7 linked regions of the Kluyveromyces lactis genome follow. The protein of the gene in region 4 binds, or shares a complex with, the protein of the main gene of each other region. Links are inferred from orthologs where the notes say so. Each region holds a gene or a part of one and is shown on either strand. Other genes may lie near its edges. The genes, in order: MRP49, RTC6, MHR1, MRPL31, MRPL9, MRPL17 and RML2.

Region 1 (2,289 bases), on a different chromosome or scaffold from region 4:
CTCACAGCAATTGTTTATGATCATGGATTACATCGAAGGTGGTGAACTATTCTCTCTTTTAAGGAAGTCTCAAAGGTTCCCAAACCCGGTCGCGAAGTTTTATGCAGCAGAAGTTTGTCTTGCGTTGGAATACCTACATTCTAAAGGCATCATTTACAGAGATTTGAAACCAGAAAATATCCTTTTAGATAAGAACGGACATATCAAGTTAACTGATTTCGGGTTCGCTAAATATGTTCCTGATGTCACTTACACTCTCTGTGGAACACCGGACTATATCGCACCTGAAGTGGTAAGCACAAAACCTTACAACAAATCTGTGGATTGGTGGAGTTTTGGTGTTTTAATCTACGAAATGTTAGCAGGATATACACCTTTCTACGATTCAAACACAATTAAGACCTATGAGAATATTCTAAATGCTCCAGTAAGATTCCCACCATTTTTCCATTCTGATGCTCAAGATCTAATATCGAAACTCATCACAAGAGACTTAAGTCAACGGCTAGGTAATTTACAAAATGGAAGTGAGGACGTAAAGAATCATCCGTGGTTCAGCGAGGTTGTGTGGGAAAAACTACTCTGCAAAAACATTGAAACTCCATATGAACCTCCTATTCAGGCCGGACAAGGCGATACCTCTCAATACGATAGGTATCCAGAGGAAGAGGTTAATTATGGCATTCAAGGCGAAGATCCGTACCATAGTATTTTCACCAACTTTTAGCAGGCATACTTGCTCATGAAATTCAGATATCAACATGCCTCTTATCTTGCATCTACACAATATGTAAACTTTAACACGCCTTTCCCCCCGTTAGTCCCTTTTCTTTTTTTTTTTGTTTTGATATATCGGCTCATTGCCTTCAGAAACGCTGCCGTTATTTGATACATTCCTTTGAATGACCATCGTACAATACTAGATGGATTGATGTACGCACTTCCAATTCAAAATTCGTTTCATTCGTTTTGCTGTACTCTCCAATGGATGCTCGATGCAATAATCTTATTTTTGGAGTATTTATCTATCTATAATCAATGGCATTTACATATTTTGAATGCATGTATAAGACTTCATCACAAGTCCTTCCCTCACGATCCATGCTACATAAATTGTAAACTGGGGTAAGTCATGGCACATTCATTTATGTTTTGGACGTAACTTGCTTCTGTCGAATGATTTCACGTGACCAATGAATTTTTTTCCAAACTATTGAAAATTCAAAAAGTTCAGTGGACATGTCCAGTTGAAATGAGAATGATTTTACGAAATAGATGATTGAAGTGATATTGCTGAAAGTGAAGGGTCCTGGTTGCTCTACTTTATCGTCAAGGTTTATTTTACCGATTGGATACTTATACTCATTGTCACTCTAGAGAAGATCATTAATAAATAATGTCAGGAATCGTTAAACAACAAAAATTTTTGAACAAGATCAGTGCGACTACCGTGAAACCTCAAATTATATTAGATGTATCGAAGTACAGTGCATTGAATGTGAAGTTCCAGTATCAGAATTTCAATGGCCATATGGGTGCCCGTAAGTTCTGGCACGAGTTTTTGCCTTCTCTGCAGTTTTACAACCCTGCGTTGCCAATCAATGTGACCAGAATTAGAAACGATGATAAAAAAGTCGATGTACCATGCATACTAGAAGCTATTGGATCCGATGGGAAGGTTGTAGCTGAAGTTTCAATGAAGCACAAACACTCATCTGAAATTATGGATGAAGTGCTACAGAAATTGGAACACAAAAGAGTACCCCAGGAAGAAATAATAAAGGTATGAGCTCCGACCTTTGACAAAGAAAAACAAACAAACTGGAATACCTAAATATACTACTTTCAAAGTTAGGTCCTGTACATATGTATATAATAAGATACTTTTCATCCGATTTGATGTCTTATTCAAATGACATATCCTTTTGAGATGAGTTGACTCTCTGCCCAAGGATCGTCAAGACATTCAAGAACACGCGAGAAGAAGATTTAAAACGCCAGTATATGGTTACCAGGTGGTTATTTAACTTGAATTTCAGAACGCCTCTTACATCTAATTGTCATTAAGACATCTTACATTAACAGCGACTTCTTCATCTGCGGAAATGGTTTTCTGCGTATTGTTCAGTTGAAATTTTTCAATCTCGAAAATGATAAATCGCTTCAGATCTCATCATCTCATCTCATCTCATCGGTTGACCACAGAAATTATCAACACCCCAAAGAGGCATATAGTAGGGGCATTATTCACAGGTGAAGACTCTCAACCCAACAACACGAATGTCTAAT
Region 2 (2,044 bases), about 600 kb from region 4:
AAGCAGATTCTGAATCTGCATCTAGCGTAGGTTTTTCTGCATCCATCCGTATTTGGTCAGTTATTTCCATAGACTCTTCTTCGTTAAAGCGGCGTTTCTGCGGTTCTGTAAGGTCCATTGTTTCCTCCAAAACTTGGTCTTCGTTACCATTCTCTTCTTCTTCTTCCGCAGCAGTAGAGGTTTCTTGCGGTACCACATTATCGTCTGGTTTAGCGCTATGTTTTGCAAATAACTGTGTTATATCCATTGAAACCTCTTTGTCGAACACAGGTTGGTACCCATCATTTTTCGGTTCGCTTGGAGACTCCAATTTTTGGAATATTGAACCTATCGGACTAGTAAATTCCATTGTTTCTCCAGAATTGTCGTTATCATTTTTGGTATCGGCCATAGAGGCTTCAGCTACTGCCACTTCCAATTTTAAAGCGGATTTCCTTCGAGGTTCCCTTACATTTTGAATCGATTGTGGTATGAATTCGAACTTGTGCAAAGTCACATCTGGTGCAAAGGACACACGGCGATTTCCCTTCGAAATCGCAGCACTGATCCGGGATGTCGTATTGTTTCCGTCCAGTATATCTTCTTTGGTAATTCCCTCAGTAGGAAACTGTATCTGGGACATAGTCAAATTATGACTGGTGTTAGTTGTATCATCATCCTTAAATTTTTGCTTAAGGATACTTCTCGGAAGCAAAGACAATCGTTTTGGATCTGTCATATGAAGCGAGACTATCAACACAGGGTGAAATATGATAATAAATGGAAACTTAACCTAAATATTAGTCCTTAAGTTTATGATGATTCGGTATTTGTGTGTCAATATATTGATCTAAAATTCGATTGTTTACGTTTTCGAAGTTCAATGTTTTCGATTCAGAGCGCTGCTGCACATACAGTGAGAACCGAGAAAAAGGATAAAACAACTGCCTTGAAGAGTCTCTTAGAAAGGATGGGTGTACTTCATCAATTATTTATTTGTTAGTGATTCGAAACGGTCTTCAGATTTGCCCAAAGATGTTCACTAGATGAGGATGTTCAAGATCTCAGGTCATAACCATCACGTGCTATAGTCCGGGTAAATATCTTAATCTCCATTGAAACTATTTTGAAAAATTATCGAAGGCCTTTTCATGGTAGATCATCAGCTATAGAGGGCATGTTCAGTCGGTGTGATGCCTTATTGACGATTGTGGACTCCATTAGTACGTTTCAAGACCGTGGGTGATATCAAAAACTGAAAACTCTTCACAGGTATAACTCTGGAGCCCGATATAATATAAAGAGAGGGAAATACATACATAATGAGCACACTTTTCGGAAGTACGATGTTGAACTCGTTGACAAGACTGACAAGGCCAGCTGTGAAAAGTATCAATATGCTATCTATGCCAATGATGGGTCTTATGAACCCTCCTTTGACCAGAGGTTTTAAGGTAAGAACTTCCATCAAGAAGTTCTGTAACGATTGTTACATGGTTAGACGTAAGGGCAGAGTGTACGTTTACTGTAAGTCCAATAAGAAGCATAAACAACGTCAAGGTTGAATTACAATCGCCCTCCCATTCGTCCCAATCTTTCATGTATATAGATAAGTCATAATGGAGGATGTGTTCTTTTCTTGAATGTGGAAAAATGCAGCCTTCTTTCTATAAATAATTTCCATTCTATACTAATAAACTGGTTTTAAATATATAAAATTCTGAAGTTTAGATGGTTAGATATTATTCATCTCGCCAACAGGAAAGTCCTAATCCTCCTATTAATATAAGTGTTTTCTGGACGTTTGGTAACGTAACTATATCACTGGAACCGGTATCTGCTACTGTGGTATATTTGCTCTCCGTTATTTTCAGTTTGTCATTCGTAATGTCCCTAATTCTTATGACCTGGTCCACTGATGTAGCCAATAATTTTGTGTCATTATCTAACAGATTCACTGATGTTACTGTTGATGAAGCAGCATACGAATCGTGATCTAGTATTTCGGCTTTCATCGTGTAGTTGTCATTGTTCGTAAATTTAGTGATGGCTACAGCATTGTCAT
Region 3 (2,462 bases), on a different chromosome or scaffold from region 4:
TTATGCTAGAAAAACTAAGAAAAACCCGAAGCCTCTAAGGGAAAACAGGATTGTCGTTAAAGAAACACCAGAGAAAACCAGAGAAACGGTGTTAAGGTTTCTCAAATTTGGTCATGTGACATTTTTTTTGCTTTTTCTTTGGTGTCCGGGTTCCTGCTTCTTCTTCCGTTAGGCGTTAATGCATGCATGAGACACATATGGTATGAAGCGGTAGAAAAGTAGAGGAAGTAATATGATGATTACAGAACCTTTGATATTTAGGTTACGTGATGATGGAAACAAGGGAGAAAACTGCTAGTAATCACCTTGTCAAATCAGTTAAACGCCGGTAGTGAGCTGAGGGTTTGTTTATATTATTTACAGAGTCGGATTGTCTGCGGGTTATATATGTACATGTAGTGATTTCTTAAAGACGTGACGAGTGAAGCAGTGAAAGATCTGAGCTCGGCTCAGCTTTTGCAACTGGAAATAGTTTGTATTTGCTTGTTTTCTTTTGTAACTCATAGAGAGATGTTTTGAGCAGCTGACTCCTGTTGTCTCACTCTTGCGAACTCTTCTTTGGCTCTTTCGCCTAGTTCTTTCAAAATTGCACTTTCCTCTCTGGAAACGTTCCCCAAACGTTCTAGTGTTGTGTGATTCAACTCTGGCAATACTGGGTTCCAGTATTTCTCTTTATCCCCCATTCTCCATTCGTCTTCCCAATGGACCTTAATGGACGATTGGACGTCTTTCAACTTTAGGAGACATTCTCGCAAATCGGCAACCGCTTCTTGAGAGTATGTTGGTCTGTATTGCGATGAGTACCATGTGTGGCCGGACTCATTCTTCTTTCTCATGTCTTTTGCCTGTTTACTGAATGTCACATCACGGAGATATCTTAATCTGCACAAATTCTGGTATACTTTTACACTCTTGTCGTAGTCTGGTAGATCAACAACAGCCATACATTTCCAAATATCACGTCTGGTGCTTGGTTTCTTATTCTCCCAGTTGGGTCTTTGGAAATTGGTATCAATTTGCTTCCAAGAAAAAGTCGGGAATTGAGAGTACAGCACTTGTCCACTCTCTAGGTTTCTGAATAAAAAGACTTGTGGTGCATACCCTGCTTTCTGTAGCCAGTTGGCTGGACGGAACTTGGTAATAGCTAAATGCTTGCTCATCTCTTCCTAGTGCCCTATGGTGTCTTCAAGCCTTATTTGTTAACAACAAAAGCCTTGATCCTCAGAGTTCTCTTCTATCTCCAGTGCTATTGATGGACTTCTGAAGAGTTATTTAAATACAATGTGTGCACAAATGTGGTGATCTCTTCTGTAATCAAGCTAAACTAACTATCAGCTTTCTCTTTTTCAAAATTTTTCAGCTTTTTCAGATGCCATAAACAACTTCGTAGAAACACTGAAAATTAAAGAGAATGAACCTAATATATACATTACCCGGATCTTGTGATGATATTGAATTCTCCGCTACCTGCTCTATCTTATCTTGGATCTCATCTCCAGAGAAAGGTTTTCCTATCAGCAGACACGCACAGTAGAGTTATCACCTTCATCCGTCAAGTGTCCGCATATTCCACCATCTAGAACTTGATGTTTGAATTGAATTATGGAGCCGTTCCTACGTCCCGGACAGATTGCTTAGCTAGAGTTCTCGATTGTGGAGATGATAACCGTGGATCGATAAGTGCCATTTGTGAGCCGGACTTGACAATTGACGGGAATTCAAGCCTAGCAAGCAGTGAGAATTATACCAATTGTAAAATCTGTGGAGGGTTTGCGAATTTTTTATGTTCAAGAGATTCACGAGCTGGGTGGTTTTGTTCTTTTTGTAATGCTTATAATGAACTAGGGAATATTCCATTATCATCGTCATACCTAAAACATTTAGGAACTGCTGCTGTGCCTACGCATTCCAAGTTCGCCATAATCATCGATCTTAATTGTGAATTTGAGGAAAATCTAGACGCGTTGAAGATGTTACAATTTGGTTCTGTCCAGTCATTGGCCCTGATCACGATTGAAGATGGGTCTGTCACTATTCATACTGACGGGTCACACATTACCGTAGATGCAGAATCTAGTAGTTGTATCAGCCATCTTAAGAAGCTTGACACAGAATGGTTCATTGCAAAGTATGGGCTTTTAGTGAGGAAGATTTGGACGGACCAAATATCTTTCGGTGCTAAACTCGCGGAACTTCTATGTCAACGGACTAGGTCAAAAAAAAGATGTAGAAGAAACACTGCACTCGCTATTTTTCTAGCACAATGTCTAAACCCATCACAATCCATTGCATTTGTTTTCGGACCCTGTACAGTAGCACCAGGTAAGGTTATCTCAATGGACCGAAAAAATCATATCAGGCAGCATAGAAATATAGAGGAAGACAAGGATGTGAAATATTGGAAACCTTCTAGAGAATTTTACAATAAAATGAGTAAGTCCTTAAAGTTTGCTCCATGCACG
Region 4 (2,355 bases):
AATTTGGAAACTAAGCTTGAACCACTGGTAGAAGTTTTCGATGAATTAGGATCCCTAACTCAAATGTCCCTTCTAATGGGTGTAGTGAAATGCCATAATGCAGTCTCAAGTGCTTTCTTACAGAAGATCTTGGAACTTTGTACGACAGACGTCCACGATTTGGACGTTAGAGACATGGCCATGATGTACTGGCGGTGTCTATCGATCGACAACGGTGATCAAATCATCAACCAATTATTTGACAAGCATGAAATTCCTAAATTGCATTCTACCTTGGACCACTTCTCCAAGGAAACATTACAAAGTCTACTTCAAGAGCTCTCCACTCTATCCTCTGTGTATTTCAAACCAATCTCGCAGATGCAACGCCGTCCCAACGAAGTTCACATCATTAAGGATAAGGATATTGATGAATTAAAGGGAATGGCCACGAACGAGATCCTGAAAAACATGAACGATGATGTACTACTTGACATGGGTGATAGCTCTGCCACGAGAAGTACAGGCGTCCTGGACGAACTAAATGATCTTTTCGATATCACTGGTGATATGGGGAAAGTAAACATTTCACAGAAAACCAATAATAACAACAACAACACCTCGAATTCCCATGCAACCGATCTTCTAGACTTAATGTAAACTAGTTTACTCTTTTGAACACCTGTACAAACTATAATTATAATGGGAAACAATGAAGCAGATAAACTTCAATCATGGATGTGCCTTTCTAAAATGTTAATTTATTATGGTGCAGTATCTACTACTATATACAAGTAACCCCAGTGGCATGTCATGTCATGTCATATCATGTCAACTTTATTCCTTTTGTTTCTTGAGAAGATCCTCAAGTCTCTCAATCTTACGTTCCACTATCAAGTCACGTTGACGATCCAGATTAGAATCCTTCTGGTATGATAATATACATTTGCGCATAGCGTCACGAGGTTCGTTACACGCTGGGAAAAGCTTCAATCCATGAATCTTTGAACATTCGACCATGGCCTCCACGTATTCTACACATTGTGCATATGCAAATTTCTTCAAATTCTGACGAGCTTCTTTCTCCTCGGTAGGGTTCAATACCCAAATTGGTAATCTTTGATTATGCTTTCCAACGCCCTCTGACATTTCTAAATGAATAATCTATCTTTGTGGTGCAGTATTCCAGTACTATAAGAACTTCTGACCTATGGTTATGGACACAGCAGCAGCTACAAATGACAATACGCTGGCTGTTCCCCAAAATCGTTTAAATCAGTTGACATTGTTCATTTGCATAATGTTGAGATTTAAAGCTTTTTCATGGATACTTTGAAAAATTTCGAAGGTTTAAAAGATTTAATACCATGAATTACGGTGGGAAATTGGTAAAAGCCAGCCAGTAGCACCGTTATACAAACTGTTTAAGCAGCTCGTTAGGTTCTGTCATACCCGGGTCAATTGAATATCTTTGTTTCATAGAGAAATGTTCGGTGCATTCAGAGCTACACAACCTGCATTAGGTGGATTATTATGGAAAGTCCCATGGCGTATGTCTGGTCCTCAAAAAGCAAGACAAAGAGACCGTTTGAGAAGCGTTGATGATGTTCTTTCAACTCTTAAGTTAGGTCTTCATCTTGAAAGAAACCATATGGCGGTTTCTGAGGGATCTCAGCTGAATCTACGTAAGATTAAACCTCGTGTGAAGAGCTTACGTATTTTAGACAAGGCTCAGTATTTCCCAAAGGAACCGGAGATGTCTGCTACTGATAAGTACAGTGTATTCAACAGGTACTCGAAGGGATATAGAAAGGGTATACATAAAGTTCCCAAATGGACCAAGCTTTCCATCAGAAGAAACCCACGTCATTTCTGATTTGGATGAATCATCATTAAAAACTTCTATTATTACATAGTAAGTAGCCCCTGTACATAGTGAATAAAATCAAGGTATCATAGTTCATCCCAGATGTTGTGAGATGATGATGATGATGATAATGGACGGGCTTCATTCCTTAGATCGAGCAATTGGTCATTATATAGTGCTACGTCAAGGGAATGGAACAACTTCAACTTTAGCACACGTATCTTGTCATCTTTACCGATCGGTTCCTCATCAATCGTGTGGGCAGCATCAGTATCGTCATTGAGTAATTGTTTCTGTGTTTCTACGACCTTTTGAATACCCTCTTGTATCGTATCTCGAAGCTGGTTAATTTCCTGTACCAGTTTATCTATGTCTTGTTGCAATTTCGGTATGTTTAATTCGTCCTCTACGCGTTTCACTTGGCTTGTTTGCTCCTGAAAATTCTTTTTAAGTGCCTGCACTTTAGTTTGCTGTCTTTGCAGCTGTGATTGCAATTGTTTCATGAGCTC
Region 5 (2,469 bases), about 340 kb from region 4:
TCACTATTAAAATTTTGATTCCAAGTGAAAAATTGGTTGAAAGACGCATAGAGATGAGTGCTGGAAGAACAGATTGATATAGACGCATTTGATCTAATATACCCAGTCATATAGCGGCTGCAAAGTGGGCTAGACTATTTCCAGGATATACACAATTACCATGACATTTGTTTCCAGAAGACTCTTTTCTGTGTCGGCTCTTCTGCGCTCACATATTGGTTCTTCTCCGGTGTATTTGACACCGGAGACCAAGTTGGTGGTGGAATCAATGAAACTGCCAAAGATCATCAGAAAGGGTAACAAATCTCTTAAGTTATCTCAGAACGTAACTGTATCGGGTCCTTTGGGGAAGATTGATATGGAAATCCCAGATTTCGTGGAGATAAAGCAGGATGGATCTTCGGGAAAAATCGAAGTTGCAGTGAAGGATTCTACCGACAAGACGCAAAGATCCATGTGGGGGACGGTAAGATCTCATATAAATAATCATATCACAGGCGTGAATGAGAGCCATATGGCTGTTCTGAAGTTCGTTGGTACCGGTTACAGAGCTCAATTGGAGGAAAATAACACCTTTGTCAACGTCAAAGTCGGTGCGTCGGTAAGACAAGGCCTACCTATCCCAGAGGGAATCATAGTTAAGTCTCCGGTACCCACGTCGTTGATCGTGGAAGGTGTCAACAAGCAACAAGTGCTACTCTTCGCTGCCAACTTGAGAAAATTCCATCCTCCAGAACCATATAAGGGTAAAGGTATCTACGTTAACAATGAAACTATCAAGATCAAGGATAAGAAGATCAAATGATGACGATAGAATGATGATTATAATTATTATAATATTAAATAACATGTAAATACAGAAGCATAAACATACACTTCCAATAACCGTCAAGGGCACACTTAATTTGTGTTAAATCAGTGAGAGAACTACGTGCCGTTTTAATCACGTGATCTATAGGTAACTTTATCGATTCAAAAAATTTTCAATATCGAAACAGCTTTAACAATTATACAGAGATGGAAACAGGTTTCAATAGAGTCTTTAAACTACATTTTAAATCCTTTACAGTTTCTCCAGCATTGCCAAGAGGTTATCTGGATTGACACATTTGTTATCAATCGACCAGTCTTTGAAAATTGGGGAATAATGGCATTTATTGGCAGTCCTTCGTCGAAGATTTGGACAAGACTTTTCTCACAAAGTGGAGTATCGAACGGTGCCAAGTTAGTCGCACCATCCGTGGCAAGCAGCATTCATCTAGATCCTGTAGATATTAAACATTCTCCAGAAAATGCGCTAAAGAGAAGAAGATTACCTCTACGTTGTGGTGCTTTGAGTAAAAAAGTAGGGATGATGCCGTATTTCGAGAAAGAGACTGGTAAACGTATAGCAGCTACTGTACTTCAGTTGGACAATAACGAAGTTATACTACACAGAACTCCAGCTGAAAACAATTACTGGGCTTGCCAAATTGGTTATGGTAACAAGTCGCCGGAGAATGTTACCAGACAAATGTTGGGACATTTCGCTGCACATGTTGTGAATCCAAAGGAAAAAGTTACCGAGTTTAGAGTCAAGGACGAATCTGGACTACTACCAGTGGGTTCTTTAATCAAACCTTCGTGGTTCAAGCCTGGCCAATACGTTGATTTAAGATCAATCAGCAAAGGTAAGGGTTTCCAAGGTGTAATGAAACGTTATGGATTCAAAGGTTTGAAGGCATCCCACGGTGTTTCCGTATCTCACAGATCTGGTGGTTCTTACGGTCAAAATCAAACACCTGGTCGTGTGTTGCCTGGGAAAAAGATGCCTGGTCATATGGGTGTCGACACTGTAACAATTCAAAACGTGCAAGTGCTGGACGTCAACGACGAAACAGGTACTGTCTTGGTGAAGGGCTCTGTCGCAGGTCCAAATGGTGCATTCGTTAAGATCCAAGATGCTATCAAAAAGCCAACCCCAGTATAAAAAACTGTGATTAAGAAATTGAATCTTTTCAGTCGTTTAGACACCGTCCCGAAATCATTTGGAAAGCATGCCTTTCTACGGTTATTATTAACAATCTATACCTGTATATACACCAATTATAAAATAGTAACTGCTGCAACGTTGAGTGTCCTTTTCAACCAGATATTTAATGGCTTTCATACGTTGATACTGGATCCTGGGTATATGTCGGAGAGAATTGATTACAATTTTTTTCTCTATGTGGGAAGATATACGGCCTGCTATGTATATATTTGCCTTGCTTGACAAGTGTTAGTTTCAGCTTTCATTGGATCCGCAGAAACTTTTTCGTTTCTTGACCATGCTGTACATTTCTGTAAGGTGTTATCTTTACTCATCATCATCCAATTCCGATGGTTTCAATAACCCACCGATCTTGGAAGCTCTTTCTCTTTCAAGTTTATGTTGTTCCGCGAGAGCTTGTTCTTTGTCCTCTGCGAACAAATAATCGGTTGGATCTC
Region 6 (2,557 bases), on a different chromosome or scaffold from region 4:
AGTCGTGCTTAATATTTTACACCACTGGTGCTCTTGATAAAATGACAATGGTTGATTTACGTTCAGGCAGACCGAAAACTATGGTATCGACCGATGATCGTAAACGAAATGATTTTGTTAAGAAAAGCACCGATCGGAGCAGTAGAACTCAAAGAGACACACCACAGCGCGGGAAGAGGGATAAAGAGCTGCGCAAACAACCATACAAGAGAGATGCTGATAAATTCAGTGAGAAGTCGTTTGGTCGCTCCAACACAGGGTCTTCTTTTAGAAAGCCAAATGATAGATGGTGATAGATTTAAAAGTTAATTAGCATTCTTACAAGTATATAATGTTCCAATCTTAAAATCAATCAGAGTTCAGCAATATGTATATGATTGTTATCTTTTAGTGTTCGATACGGGTTGGAATTTCTATCCGAAGCAGTATTTACAGGAGGGTTTACATATATATATAGTGATTAAATCATGCCAATACTTTCTGTGTTTGATGATAATATGTTAATTCTCAGCAAGAACATATTGTATACTATTGAAATATCTCTCGTCAACAGCTTTCTTGATTTCATCTTTTGTCAACCATGCAAATTCTTTGATTGACTTTTCATCCTTTAACTTGAATTCACCTGCTATGATATGCGATTTGATCAAAAACTGGAGATCTTTTTCAGATTGTAGAACACCTGCTGGAGTATTCGACACAGTCCATGTATTAATATCTTCTCCGCCGATTTTTCTTAATCCCACTTCAGCGGTCTCATGTAAAGCTTTCTTTCCTTCCTTAGCTTCAATATCAACCGGGAAACTTGGAAGAACCCAGCTTCCCTTGTCATCCTTCACAAGCAAATGCAGAGTTCTGTCCAATTTTCTGTCTAAACTAGTAATATCGTTATTTTCGTCTGCCTTTGTAGTTCTGGAATTAGGAACAATTGGCCTTGAGACATCAGACTTGTTTGAACCTTCTGAAGCCTCTCTTGGTAGCATAATATCTTGCTTTTGACTTCTTTCTCTGTTATGTCTGACGTCTGGCACTCCTTTAGGGAACCATACACCAGGCTGCTTGCTAATCACACCTTTCTGTACAGACTGGAAACGACGCTCTGCCAAAGTACCTTTTTTGAAATAGAAATAAGATGGAAATGTCCACATTAGTCTTCTTTCCAGTTCTGCCTGGTATTGGTAGTACTTGTTCTCTAGTGCATTCAATTCTGGAGTGACGATTGGAACACGAGAAAGTACCAAACCTGCCTTTACTGCCTTGGGAATCGAGCTTGCTGCTGCTTTCACAGACATTTTTATTTATAATTGTGTCGATGAAGAGGGTTGCTGACTGAATATACACGATGATTGACAGCTGGTGAATATGCTTCCCAATTCTGATAAGCGGCACTATTTCAACATGATGCTGATGTTCCAATAATTTTTCAAATTGTTTGAACATCCTCTCATGCCTACTATTCCAAAATTTTTCAATATGAAATAATCGATCACGATATACGGATTTGATAACTTTCCAAGTGGTGTCACTAATAGAACAAAGTAGTGAGTGAATTGCATATGCATAAAGGCTATCAGATACAGAAAATTATTTAAGTGCATTTATATAAGCATTATTTTGGCGTTTGGTTCAAAATATTCATCAATGTGTTTAATTGCGCAGTTGGATCGAAATTTTGTGGGGGTTGAGGAGATTTTTGGCCCGAAGGTTGAGTAGACTGATGCGATTGCTGCTGCTGCTGCTGCTGCGCAGATGATGCCGATCCCAGCAGTTGATTTTGACCATATACCATTGATGGAGGCTGCTGATACAATGGCTGGTTATAATACTGTTGTTGGATTTGAGGAACGTTCGGTATTTGTGATGTTTGAACCGGAGGAGGAGGAGGAGATATATTACTGTAGGGGATAGGTGTTTGAGAGACAGCAGTAGCTTGACCAACTTTACCAGACTTGGGACCCAAAACACCTTTATCAGTTGGCATCTTTTGCGAAATCGCTTTTGATGAAACACCTTCACCAACAATAATATCGGGCTCCTCATAAACCATGTTTGTTTGGATTGGTTGACCACCAGTACCACCCCATTCCGCGGACTGTGACCATTTGAAGTCAATTTCGGTTAGCCTGGCCAATGGGATGATTGAATATCCATATTGATAGTCACAACAGTCTCTAGGACCGAAACCAACGGCCCAACGGATTCTCAAACCATGTGTCGGATTGCCACCACCAGTGAAATGCGCCATGATCCTCTCCGCTTCTGCTCTTGAATAGACTTTCACAAAGGCGTGCTTACGGGCATTATTCAAAATAACACTCTGAACCTCACCGAATTGTCTTAACATTCTTGCAATATCATGTTCTTTGAAATTTTGTGGGACACCACCAACGAAAAGGGTTCTGGAATATACTTTTACGTGGTCCCTTGGCACAGTTGGATCAAAGGATACCGGTTTTGGCCTAAAATGAGGGTTTGAGGGAACATTCTGCTCATCTGGGTACAAATGATGGTTATTTCCTTGTTGACCATTAATTGACTGCTGCTGTTGTTGTTGTTG
Region 7 (3,025 bases), on a different chromosome or scaffold from region 4:
GAAAGGCCCTGTGTGTATCGCTAACGGTTTAGATTTGTGGTTCACTGTCTCAGAGCTCTGTATAATCTAGGATCCTACGTTTTTAGTCCTAAGATAACACTTTTATTTCTATTGACATCTTTTCAAGACGTGTTTACAATTCAGATACCGGCACCAAAAATAAAAAAACACACACTACCGAAAAGCACAAGTTACAAGTACAAGAATGGAACAGCTAATGCTATATATAAACGTATTCAGGACTGTTAGAGATAACAAAAAGCGTGTTTCTAATCCTTTAAAATTTTGAATTTTATTCATGATTAGCATGGAAACTTTTAGTTCATCATTAATAGGTCTATATATTTAAGATAGAGAATGCCGAGTAATCCACTGACACATCTAACGTACACTTCGACTACCCGAATATATCCGGAAATGAAGAAAGTCAAACAAACAAGAAGATATAACTTGTACTGTATTGCCTGGACAGTTTATTTTAATAAAGTAATCGATTGATCAGAATTTTCAGTGTTTGGCTAATGCTAGTCGAATCGTTCATATTTTCGAAATCCGTTTGGGGCGACAGCGGTCATCATAATCGATATACTCAAAAAAAAAACAATCCAAATGATGGTATTTCCATACAGACAGTCATTATCTTCGTCGTTCCTTTTACTTGTTCATTTCCCGACATGAAGAGGAATTTGATTTCCGTTTGAGTTCAGTAAAAAAGACAGAATACGTTGCGAACAGGAACTCCTGTTCCTGATACACTACAAATCGAATCCTTGTTGGTTATGTCTCTAACTCTAATTAAAAGCTTTGTAACGGATAATAAAGTATTCGTGATGAGATAGAAACTTACCTCAAAATTTTTCACTTTTCCAGTTATTTAAACTAAAAACCATAAAACAGAAAGAATAGTCAATCTAACCATGAGAGACTGGTCTGCCATTAGGGCACAAAATAAGTACACAAAGATTTCCTGAATCACGTGACCAAATATTATATAATCCGGGTAAATTCAGAATACGTTCATAGTGATACTTCTTGCAAAAAATTCCATTTGACGATATTCCTCTGATGGTATTGAAGCTGTTTGAAATTAGAGATCGCTTGAAAGATTTTGATATTAACAAAAATGAACAATGTAATTGCAATGACTTAAACATTTTAAACTATGGATATTGATATATATAAGGGTGGATATATCTATAACAAATCTTATTAAGATCAGAGTTATTTTATTATTTCTGTGAAGGGCAGTAGCAAAGCGGAGATATTGGTATTAGACGGTTTACCCTAAGAATCTCGTTAGGTGCTCTGGATATAATATCATGTTCAAGCAATTCAACTTGAGATGCCTGACGCCGCTTGCCAGCGGCGTCTCCTCAAGAGTTCAAGTTCCGTGGAATGTTTCGATGATAATGTCTTTGAACAATACTTCACTTGGTGGAATCAGATCTATGGCCAGCATCACTCCAACCGGGAATGAAGAACAATCTTCAGTTGACGATGTCAATGTCCATATGTTGAAAATCGTTCCTAATAACACAGATGTGGTAGCACTAGAGAAGCAAGACGAATTGTTAAGAAGAAGAAGAAAGTTGGCTAAGGAAGTTACACAAATGAAGAAATTGAAACCGGTTTCTCCAGGTTTGAGATGGTACCGTGCGCCAATTTATCCATATTTGCATAAGGGAAGACCTGTTAAATCTTTGACTCTTGCCAAGAGAGGAAATGGTGGTAGAAACCATAGTGGTAAGATCACGGTGAGACATCGTGGTGGTGGTCATAAAAGAAGATTGAGAACAGTCGATTTCAGTCGTTTCGAATCTGGTATGCAAACTGTGGAAAGAATCGAATACGATCCTGGTAGAAGTGCACATATTGCATTGATAAAACATAACGATACTGGTGCCCTAAGCTACATTTTAGCATGTGATGGGCTAAGAGCTGGGGATACCATCGAATCATACAGAAAAGGTATTCCACCATCATTTTTGAAAGAAATGGGTGGGAAGATCGATCCTGCCATCTTATCTGTTAGAACAGCTCAAAGAGGTAACTGTCTACCAATCTCTATGATCCCAATCGGATCCATCGTTCATAATATTGGTATCACTCCTACAGGTCCAGGTAAGTTCTGTCGTGCTGCTGGTTCTTACGCACGTATCTTATCCAAGATCCCAGAAAAGAATAAAGCTGTTGTCCGTCTACAAAGTGGTGAGCACCGTTACGTATCATTGGAAGCTGCAGCTACCATGGGTGTTGTCTCAAATATTGACCATCAAAACCGTTCTCTAGGTAAAGCTGGTAGATCTAGATGGTTGGGTATAAGACCAACTGTCAGAGGTGTGGCAATGAACAAATGTGACCATCCTCACGGTGGTGGTAGAGGTAAATCTAAGTCCAAAAAGTTGTCCATGTCTCCATGGGGTCAATTGGCCAAGGGTTACAAGACAAGAAGGGGTAAGCATCAAAACAAAATGAAGGTTAAAGATAGACCAAGAGGTAAGGCTGGTAGAAAGGCTAGACAATGATAAGCTTCCCCACAACTGATCCTATCTTAAATATCATCAGTTTTTGTAAACTTATTTCAATGACTTCCATCCTGTAAATATCGTAGAACTAGTTAATTTAAAGAAATAACATAACATCTGTTCAGTTACCAACTCTATTTTAAACAAAGTTTAGATTACTACATCCAGAGCATCATTTGGTCTCTTCTTCCAGCTTAAATTCCCAGTTCCCAAGTTCGAATAAGGAACCAACGACTAACCTTACATGCTGGGCCATGTGATCAAATGAAAGTCTGTCTAAAGTGTCCATCGTACTGTGAATGTATTTGTTAGATTTGTTGAACTCACTTTCAATGACAAAGGAAGCGGGGAATCCATTCTTCGTTGCACTTCCGTGATCACTACATGCATATCCACATTCCGTTTCCACGTAAGGAATATCCAAGAATCTTCTTATAATCAACTTAATAAATTCAGTTAGACCTGGCGTGGTATAATCAGTAATGACACCAACATGCTCA

Evidence for each region.
Region 1: MRPL31 (region 4) and MRP49 share a complex: the UniProt entries of both Saccharomyces cerevisiae proteins name them as parts of the mitochondrial large ribosomal subunit. The link is inferred for Kluyveromyces lactis from reciprocal best matches to the Saccharomyces cerevisiae genes MRPL31 and MRP49.
Region 2: MRPL31 (region 4) and RTC6 share a complex: the UniProt entries of both Saccharomyces cerevisiae proteins name them as parts of the mitochondrial large ribosomal subunit. The link is inferred for Kluyveromyces lactis from reciprocal best matches to the Saccharomyces cerevisiae genes MRPL31 and RTC6.
Region 3: MRPL31 (region 4) and MHR1 share a complex: the UniProt entries of both Saccharomyces cerevisiae proteins name them as parts of the mitochondrial large ribosomal subunit. The link is inferred for Kluyveromyces lactis from reciprocal best matches to the Saccharomyces cerevisiae genes MRPL31 and MHR1.
Region 5: MRPL31 (region 4) and MRPL9 share a complex: the UniProt entries of both Saccharomyces cerevisiae proteins name them as parts of the mitochondrial large ribosomal subunit. The link is inferred for Kluyveromyces lactis from reciprocal best matches to the Saccharomyces cerevisiae genes MRPL31 and MRPL9.
Region 6: MRPL31 (region 4) and MRPL17 share a complex: the UniProt entries of both Saccharomyces cerevisiae proteins name them as parts of the mitochondrial large ribosomal subunit. The link is inferred for Kluyveromyces lactis from reciprocal best matches to the Saccharomyces cerevisiae genes MRPL31 and MRPL17.
Region 7: MRPL31 (region 4) and RML2 share a complex: the UniProt entries of both Saccharomyces cerevisiae proteins name them as parts of the mitochondrial large ribosomal subunit. The link is inferred for Kluyveromyces lactis from reciprocal best matches to the Saccharomyces cerevisiae genes MRPL31 and RML2.

What each region holds. Positions count from the first base shown.
Region 1 is NC_006038.1:623,044-625,332, reverse strand, and holds MRP49 (mitochondrial 54S ribosomal protein mL61), read left to right. Parts: upstream 1-1,396; coding exon 1,397-1,789; downstream 1,790-2,289. Other genes in the region: KLLA0_B07205g (cAMP-dependent protein kinase), read left to right, coding at 1-727; RKM3 (protein-lysine N-methyltransferase), read left to right, coding at 2,281-2,289. UniProt on the Saccharomyces cerevisiae protein: Component of the mitochondrial ribosome (mitoribosome), a dedicated translation machinery responsible for the synthesis of mitochondrial genome-encoded proteins, including at least some of the essential transmembrane subunits of the mitochondrial respiratory chain.
Region 2 is NC_006041.1:1,683,425-1,685,468, reverse strand, and holds RTC6 (mitochondrial 54S ribosomal protein bL36m), read left to right. Parts: upstream 1-1,301; coding exon 1,302-1,544; downstream 1,545-2,044. Other genes in the region: kinetochore-microtubule binding complex subunit SPC105, read right to left, coding at 1-718; tRNA (34-2'-O)-methyltransferase regulator RTT10, read right to left, coding at 1,722-2,044. UniProt on the Saccharomyces cerevisiae protein: Component of the mitochondrial ribosome (mitoribosome), a dedicated translation machinery responsible for the synthesis of mitochondrial genome-encoded proteins, including at least some of the essential transmembrane subunits of the mitochondrial respiratory chain.
Region 3 is NC_006039.1:893,436-895,897, forward strand, and holds MHR1 (mitochondrial 54S ribosomal protein mL67), read right to left. Parts: upstream 1,161-2,462; coding exon 501-1,160; downstream 1-500. Other genes in the region: GTPase-activating protein NEL1, read left to right, coding at 1,587-2,462. UniProt on the Saccharomyces cerevisiae protein: Component of the mitochondrial ribosome (mitoribosome), a dedicated translation machinery responsible for the synthesis of mitochondrial genome-encoded proteins, including at least some of the essential transmembrane subunits of the mitochondrial respiratory chain.
Region 4 is NC_006041.1:1,082,310-1,084,664, reverse strand, and holds MRPL31 (mitochondrial 54S ribosomal protein mL60), read left to right. Parts: upstream 1-1,465; coding exon 1,466-1,855; downstream 1,856-2,355. Other genes in the region: APL2 (Apl2p), read left to right, coding at 1-639; CMC1 (Cmc1p), read right to left, coding at 817-1,128; kinetochore-associated Ndc80 complex subunit SPC24, read right to left, coding at 1,933-2,355. UniProt on the Saccharomyces cerevisiae protein: Component of the mitochondrial ribosome (mitoribosome), a dedicated translation machinery responsible for the synthesis of mitochondrial genome-encoded proteins, including at least some of the essential transmembrane subunits of the mitochondrial respiratory chain.
Region 5 is NC_006041.1:1,426,393-1,428,861, forward strand, and holds MRPL9 (mitochondrial 54S ribosomal protein uL3m), read left to right. Parts: upstream 1-1,147; coding exon 1,148-1,969; downstream 1,970-2,469. Other genes in the region: MRPL6 (mitochondrial 54S ribosomal protein uL6m), read left to right, coding at 161-805; exportin CRM1, read right to left, coding at 2,339-2,469. UniProt on the Saccharomyces cerevisiae protein: Component of the mitochondrial ribosome (mitoribosome), a dedicated translation machinery responsible for the synthesis of mitochondrial genome-encoded proteins, including at least some of the essential transmembrane subunits of the mitochondrial respiratory chain.
Region 6 is NC_006039.1:256,993-259,549, forward strand, and holds MRPL17 (mitochondrial 54S ribosomal protein mL46), read right to left. Parts: upstream 1,293-2,557; coding exon 501-1,292; downstream 1-500. Other genes in the region: TEX1 (Tex1p), read left to right, coding at 1-293; Nrd1 complex RNA-binding subunit, read right to left, coding at 1,610-2,557. UniProt on the Saccharomyces cerevisiae protein: Component of the mitochondrial ribosome (mitoribosome), a dedicated translation machinery responsible for the synthesis of mitochondrial genome-encoded proteins, including at least some of the essential transmembrane subunits of the mitochondrial respiratory chain.
Region 7 is NC_006037.1:183,120-186,144, reverse strand, and holds RML2 (mitochondrial 54S ribosomal protein uL2m), read left to right. Parts: upstream 1-1,319; coding exon 1,320-2,525; downstream 2,526-3,025. Other genes in the region: KLLA0_A02013g (putative aminopeptidase), read right to left, coding at 2,698-3,025. UniProt on the Saccharomyces cerevisiae protein: Component of the mitochondrial ribosome (mitoribosome), a dedicated translation machinery responsible for the synthesis of mitochondrial genome-encoded proteins, including at least some of the essential transmembrane subunits of the mitochondrial respiratory chain.